2 linked regions of the Canis lupus familiaris genome follow. The protein of the gene in region 2 interacts with the protein of the main gene of each other region in a pairwise test. Links are inferred from orthologs where the notes say so. Each region holds a gene or a part of one and is shown on either strand. Other genes may lie near its edges.

Region 1 (3,464 bases), on a different chromosome or scaffold from region 2:
TTTCTCTCATAGACCCTGTGCACAGGTTGGAGACACTTGGTGGTTTGGTGACAATGGCAGAGGCGTCTGTGTCTGTGCCCTGTGTATGCCTCCACCGCTCAGAATCAGGGACCATTTTCAGTGGATAGATCTTACTCTGGGAAAACAGGGCTTTAGGCAACTCTCTCCAGCTAACACTGTTTTCCCAACCCCTACCCGAAACAGGCCAGACAGGCTGGAGACCCTTGTTTTTGTGTCTCTAATCACCAGCTCAGACAGTGCCCTCTGGGCTGTTTGGATGGCATATCCCTTTCCCCTCCCAGGATCACTCTCTCTTTTGTTGCATTGTGAGAAAATTACAGCTAGGAATTTGATCTGGAGCCAGTGTCAGCTTCCGGGTATGATCTCAGCATCCAAGTGTGAGCTCAGGGTGCTGTGACGTGGGGCACATCTAACGGAGGAGCTTTTGTCTCGCTGGCTATGGCCTCTTCCCTCCCTGCCCATCCCATCGTCCAGGCCACAGAACAGGGAGCAGCACAAACAAGGCCCTGAGATTTGGGTTTATTCAGCTCCACCCAGAACTAAACCAAAGGCTATGACATGTCTCAAGGGACCAAACCATACATTGTGGGCCATGCACTCTCCCCCTCCCCCCAAGGATGCGGCTACCTCTGGGGCGGTGGGCAGCTGCTCATACCACCGCGGGGGGTAGAAAGGGGTTCGCTGGGTGCTGGCTCAGTGACACTCAGGGCTCAACCCTGGTTGCCTCCTCCTCTTCGTCTGGATCGGGAGGTGCAGGGAGCAGGGAGATATAGACCTCATTGACCTCCGTGTCCAAATGTCGGCCACCCCGAGGTGCCTCCAGGTTAAGGATGCCATCGTGGGAGAGAGCCGCCCGGACCCGCCAGGGGTCCACATCGGCGGGCAAGACGTAGGTGCGGCAGAACTCCCGGGACACGAAGCCGTGGCGGTCCAGGCGCTGGGGGTGCCGGGCAGACACCTCCAGCAGGTTGTCCACAGTCCTTACGGTCACCTCGTCGGGCGTAAAGTGGCTCACGTCCAGAAACGCCTGGAACTTGCCGTCGCTGAGCCGAAGCTCAGACGCCCCTGCCCTGCTACCCTCGGCGGCGCGGGCGGCCCGGGGCCGGACATAGTAGCCATGGTAGAGGGTGGGGGTCAGGATCTCTTCGGGCAGGAGGCCTGAGGGGCAGGATGAGGCAGGATGAGCCGGGGACGAGGGGTGAGGGCCAGGGAGGGCGGGGGGGGGGGGCAGGAGGGGGCCAGGGGCCGAGATGGGGGTGCAGAGGGCAGGCCGGGCGGGGACCGCGGGACAGAGGGGAGCACGGGCCCAGCCAGGGGGTCAGGGCCGGGCATCTGCCCCGAGGTCAGCGGGAAGGGGACCGAGCCCTGCTTGGCGGGGGCGGGGGCGGGGGGGGTCCGGGTGGGAGACGGCTCGCCCCAGGAGTTCAGTTAAGCCCGGAGTGGGGTGGAGGCCAGCACTGTCGGGAGGTCAGCCCGGAATCTCAGGAGGTGGGGGCGGGAGGCCGGGGGTGGCGTCTGTGCCATACCTTCTCCGAAGCGCTGCTCGCCCAGGCGGCTGGGGTTGGCGAATTCGTACTCGGTGGTGGCCGGGTGGGCGTGGGGCACCGAGCGGCCCGACATGGCTGCGAGGCGTCGGCGGCTCTGCTCCGAGCTGCAGCCCCAACAGAGCAGCGACCCCTCCAGCTGCGGGGCCGGCCAGGGCTCGGTCCGAGGTGGGGGCGGGGTCTACACCACCCAAAATAGTGCGGAGCCCGGGGTGGGGGAGGGGCGGGGGCCGGGCCCCTGAGCGCCAGCGACAAGTGTGTGACCCGCGCTGCCTGGACCCCCGCGCCCCCCCCCCCCCCCCGCACGCCCTGCAGCTGTCGCAGGCGGCCCGAGGGGACAGCGGGGGGTCCTGGCTGGGCAGCGAGCTGGAGCTGCGAGCTGCGAGCTGCCGCGGGAGGCCGGTCCCGAGGCCCTGCAGCGGCCTAGCTGCGACCCTCACCCTCACCGTTGGCACATTTTCCACATTTCCTCCCTCTGTCCTCCTAAGTCCCGGGCACCCTACACCCGACTGCACAAAGCTGTCCCGGTTTTAACGTTCTGCCGCCGTGTAAGGTGAAAGATGCAAGAAACTTTCCCACCCTTTTTTGGAGTGGGGTGAAGGGTCTTCTGCCCAGACGAATGTCAGGGTCCTCTCCTGAACCAGGGTCAAGCCCGGGCGCCACACAGATATCTGCCTGGCGCTGACTTGCTGGTGATGGCTGCTCTCCTCCAGGGACCCATAAAGAGTTAATGTCCCTGGGGCCCAGCCTAGGAAGATTCCAGTTCCTGCCCAGGCCCAAGATAGTCACTGGCCCAATTCCCCTGGCACGCTAGGCTGGAGAGGAGGAGGAGGGGCACAACAGCCGCCTGCTTGGGATTCCTGACTCCCTCCCAACTCCAGAGAAGGGGGTGTGGGGGGGCACTACTGGGTGTGGACGGAAAGCTAGTGCAACAGGACCAGGACAAGTCACTGGCCAGCTCAGACGTGTTTGTATTTCTCTTTTCTTAGCTCAGTGAGTACTGGGTATGTGTCACACTGCCAAATCCCTGATCACAAGTCTCCATGAACGGGTGGTGAGCTGGGATAATAAAACTCCTGACATCACCATTCCAGAAGCTTCACAAGACTGCGTATATAAGGGGCTGGCTGTAGCTGCGGCTGAAGGAGCTGACCAGCCAGCTGACCCCCTCCACTCAACCTAGCCACCATGGACATCGCCATCCACCACCCCTGGATCCGCCGCCCCTTCTTTCCCTTCCACTCCCCCAGCCGCCTCTTTGACCAGTTCTTCGGAGAGCACCTGTTGGAGTCCGATCTCTTCCCAACTTCTACTTCCCTGAGCCCCTTCTACCTTCGGCCACCCTCATTCCTGCGGGCACCCAGCTGGATTGACACCGGGCTCTCAGAGGTAAGTTTCTGCCAGGAGAGGAGAGTTCTTCCTAGAACCTCCTGGAAACATATCCACCTGCTCTCCTTTTTCTCTCTGCCTGAATATGGCTATGTCTAAGCATCTTAGGCACTTGTACGTCCACCAGGGTTTAAGAAACACTAGGCTACTGGTTCTTTCCACCAGTTTACCTGTTTGTATTTGATGCTCCACTGTGTCCTACTTACTGCCTTTTCTCCACGGGCTGTGAAGATCGCCCTCTATCTCCTAACTTCTAAGTAGGATGCCCCTTTCTGGTTTGGTTCAGAAAGATCTACAGGGAAAGAGCTGCCTTCAGACTCCTTTGCTCGCCTCTTCTGATATCTCATACTCCTGACAAATGTTAGCATCTCAAGTTTCAGAGTCAGGAAACAGTCCTGCCTCATTCTGAGCTTTTCACTTCCACTGAATGGAGCTGAAGACAGCAAACACTGTTTACTTTCTTTCTATTCCTTCCTCTAAGATTTTCCAGGTTTCTCAGCACTGTGACAG
Region 2 (3,807 bases):
TTGCGGTTATACGAGTGGTCCAACGAGTTTGTATTCCTTTAAGAGTGACTTAAAAAAATTCTTATTCTTGAAATTCTTATTTTCTAAGATTCTGAGAATTCTGATTCTCATGACTGTACTAGAAATCAAAAAGTGGAAGGTTGGAAGCTTCTGGAAGGCTGAGTCTGTGGCTCTGAGGCTTTACAACTGAATCTGTAATTTTGCATTACTTATAGTCTGAGATTTCAAGGTCCTACACCTCTGGAGTCCTAATAGTCCTTGGTCCCAAGGCAGTCAAGTTCCAAGACTGATCCTGCAATTCCACTGGGTGTTGCCACTCCTCACAGGCTGCCCAGGGGCAGTGCCTACCTGAGGGCCATGCAGGAGTAGGAGTAGCCCACAAATGGCAGGTGGACTCCCAGTGGCATGCCTTCCCGCATGTCAGACAGCGTCTCCTGTACAAGAGAAACACAGATGTGGAGTGACCGGTGTTCGTCAGGGCTGGTCTCCTGCTCCTCACCCCACCCCAGCTTGGAGCCTATCTGAAGTGGCCCCTCCCTCATTTTCTTTCAATATATCCTATAACTTCCCTCGGGACACTCTCCACACTGTAATTATATACTTCTCTAGGCTGTAAGTGGATGAGGGTGGGACCAGGACTGGCTCGGTCCCTGTGTGTCCCCAGCAGCACCCAGCACAAGGCACCCAAGCTGAACACACACTCAGGATAGCTTGTATCACAATTGAGAGAAGGCCTAAGAGAGATTTCTCCACAAAACAGTGCTCTCCTGCCTCTCACTTCTCATCGCTCCAGGTCCCAGCTCAAATAACACCTCCTCCAGGAAGCCCTCCAAAACTTTCCATGCTGAATCCAGGAGCCCCACCCCCTGCATTCCCCCATCTCACCTCTGAACTCTCTGGGGAGTCATTGGGGACCAGTCTATGTTCCCCACTAGACTGTGAACCCAGGTCATCGCTGGGTTCCCAGCGTGGGGCAGGTCACAGAACAGGTGCTCTGAGGGAGGAATGATTTCAAGACCCGAGGAGATGGGTACTATTCTAACCCCAACTTTATGGGTGAGGGATGGAGGGGGGATACCCTCTGCCCAGCAGGGGTTGCAGGTACCTACCCCGCCCCCGCTCACCATGGCAGTGAGCCCATCTTCCACCACATCGAAGTTGCACGTGTCAGTGGCACCCTCAAAATCCGGCGTAAAAGGGGGCACGCTGTCTCGGAGACCGTCCCAGTCAAGGCCAAAGAAAAAAGGATGATTCTGGAAATCACCTGCTCCGTCCCGGCCCAGCCGCGTCTCAGGGGGACACAGCAGTTGCTGGATGAGGTCTCGAGCCTCCTCAGGGACCCCCGCATCGACCAGCGGCAGAGACAGGTGCTCCTGCACGAGGGAGAGGGAAGGCGGGGGACGTAAGCCTGGCAGTACATGTGGAGGGAGATCAGGGGTTTCTCTGGCGGTCCTCACCTTATAGTGCACGATCTTGCCGTAGGTCTCAGCCGTGGAGTCGGCGTAGAAGGGCGTCTGCCCGTAGAACATCTCATAGGCGAACACTCCCAGCGCCCACCAGTCACACTCCGGCCCATAGCTGCCCATCCCAGGCCCACCGCCTACGGCCTGCAGGATCTCGGGGGACAAGTAGTCCGGAGTGCCCACAGCCACCAGCGACCGCACCTGAGCCAAAAGGTCCACAGCTGGGCTCGGCCCCGCCCCTCCTAGCCACGCCCCGAGTGCTTGGTCCCTCCCCTGGCCTGTTCTTTTTTTTAATTTTTATTTATTGGGATCCCTGGGTGGCGCAGCGGTTTGGCGCCTGCCTTTGGCCCAGGGCGCGATCCTGAGGACCCGGGATCGAATCCCATGTCGGGCTCCCGGAGCATGGAGCCTGCTTCTCCCTCTGCCTGTGTCTCTGCCTCTCTCTCTCTCTCTCTGTGACTATCATAAATAAATAAAAAAATTTTTTTTAATTTACTATTTATTTTTATGATAGTCACACAGAGAGAGAGAGAGAGAGAGAGAGGCAGAGACACAGGCAGAGGGAGAAGCAGGCTCCATGCACCGGGAGCCCGACGTGGGACTCGATCTCGGGTCTCCAGGATCGCGCCCTGGGCCAAAGGCAGGCGCCAAACCGCTGCGCCACCCAGGGATCCCCCCTGGCCTGTTCTAACCCCGAGCCTCTCACCCTCTTTCCCCCTCCACATCTGATGGGGCCCCCACCCTAACTACCTGTGCGCCTCAGCCCTGCCCCCGCACTCTGCACTTCCGGTCCCCCCACCTGAGCCCACTCCTCACTGGGGGCCCGAGTTGCCTGAAGCGGGGCACCGCTCACCGTTCCATCTGCCCGCAACTTGAGGCAGGAGCCGAAGTCGGCCAAACGGATGTGGCCACACCGGTCTAGTAGGATGTTGTCGGGTTTGATGTCCCTGCGCAAACGGAAGGTAAGGGGGAAAAGTGAGCCTCTCCCATCCATCTCACCAGGCTCCACCCCTGCAGGCCCCACGGCCAAGGTCCTCCCCTCTTAGGGAGACCCTGCTCTCCAATTGTGGCCTCTCAGGGCCCTACCCCTCAACCCCCCTTAGGGGATTCTGAACCCCACTCCTCGGGTCCTGTTCCCAGTAGACCAATGAGTTCTCCCCCCGGGCCCCGCCCCCTCTGGGCTCCAACCTCTGCGGTACCCTGCCCCCCACCCGGGTGCAACTTCTGGTTCCCTCTCTGGGCCCCGCCCCCCAGTCCCCGCCCCTCAGCCCCTGCGGCGCCCACCTGTGTACATAGCCCAGCCGGTGCACTGAGTCTATGGCCATGACAATCTCGGCCAGATAGAAGCGCGCCATTTCGGCCGGGATCCGCTCCCCAAACTTGCTCAGCAGCGTTAGCAGGTCCCCGCCCACGTAGTACTCCATGACCAGGTACTGGCAGGGGGCGTGTCATGGGGGGTCAGTCGCACCCCTCGGCACTGACGGCTGACAGCCCGGGACAAAGACTGCCGCAGATGCCCCATCCCTGGGCAGGGATCCCGCAACCCCAGCTCCTAGAGAGCCCAAGAAATCTCCCAGGCCAAATCAGAGACACACACCCTCCCCCCGCAAAACCTAATTCTCCCAGGATGTCACTAGACAGGGAGAGGGGAAAAAGCCCAGAGAGTTCCCAGTGGCCAAAGTACAGAGGCTAGATACCCTGCCCAGGGCCCCCCATATAGATTGTAGAGAGTTATCCCAGTCCAGGTAAGAGATCCTCCCCCCCGACAGTGGCATCTTTACAGGATCCCCCAGAATCAGTCCAGGAAAAAAACAGTAAGGGACATCTCCCATCCCAGGAAAGGAAAACCAATTCCCACCACACCCAGAGACACCCGCAGCCATTTGGAGGCAGCTCCCAAAGCCTAGAACTTCCTCTCCCTGAATCTGCCTGGTTCACTGTCAGCCTCACTGACAGCGTCAGGACTAGGTCGGTCTCCCTAGTCCCCCCTGGCCTGAGGCTCACCAAGTAGTTCTCGTCCTGGAAGGCGAAGTGCAGCTCCGTGATCCAGCGCCGGTCCCCGTTCACCAACACGTCCCTCTCTTCGCGGAAGCACGACACCTGCGGGGCACCCAGAGGCACTTAAGTGGCAGGGAGCGGGAGCCAGGGTGGGTAATCCTAGCGCCCTGCACATCCAGCCCTGGCCCTCACCTCGCCTCTCTTCAGCATGTCCCATTTATTCATGATCTTCATCGCATACACCTGGCCCGTCTGCTTCATCTTCACCACCGCTACCTGAAGGCCGAAACGGGGTGACTGGGGGGGCGGAGATGGCAGGCGCAATCCCCGGGCTCGTAGGAATTTT

Evidence for each region.
Region 1: the proteins of DMPK (region 2) and HSPB2 interact in a two-hybrid assay, tested with the Homo sapiens proteins (2 studies listed by BioGRID). The link is inferred for Canis lupus familiaris from reciprocal best matches to the Homo sapiens genes DMPK and HSPB2.

What each region holds. Positions count from the first base shown.
Region 1 is NC_049226.1:21,212,816-21,216,279, forward strand, and holds HSPB2 (heat shock protein beta-2), read right to left. Parts: upstream 1,750-3,464; 5' UTR 1,642-1,749; coding exon 1,548-1,641; intron 1,180-1,547; coding exon 725-1,179; 3' UTR 525-724; downstream 1-524. Other genes in the region: CRYAB (alpha-crystallin B chain), read left to right, coding at 2,754-2,954. UniProt on the Homo sapiens protein: May regulate the kinase DMPK.
Region 2 is NC_049222.1:110,539,410-110,543,216, reverse strand, and holds part of DMPK (myotonin-protein kinase), read right to left. Parts: intron 3,738-3,807; coding exon 3,654-3,737; intron 3,564-3,653; coding exon 3,468-3,563; intron 2,897-3,467; coding exon 2,748-2,896; intron 2,411-2,747; coding exon 2,317-2,410; intron 1,665-2,316; coding exon 1,458-1,664; intron 1,374-1,457; coding exon 1,110-1,373; intron 435-1,109; coding exon 349-434; intron 1-348. UniProt on the Homo sapiens protein: Non-receptor serine/threonine protein kinase which is necessary for the maintenance of skeletal muscle structure and function.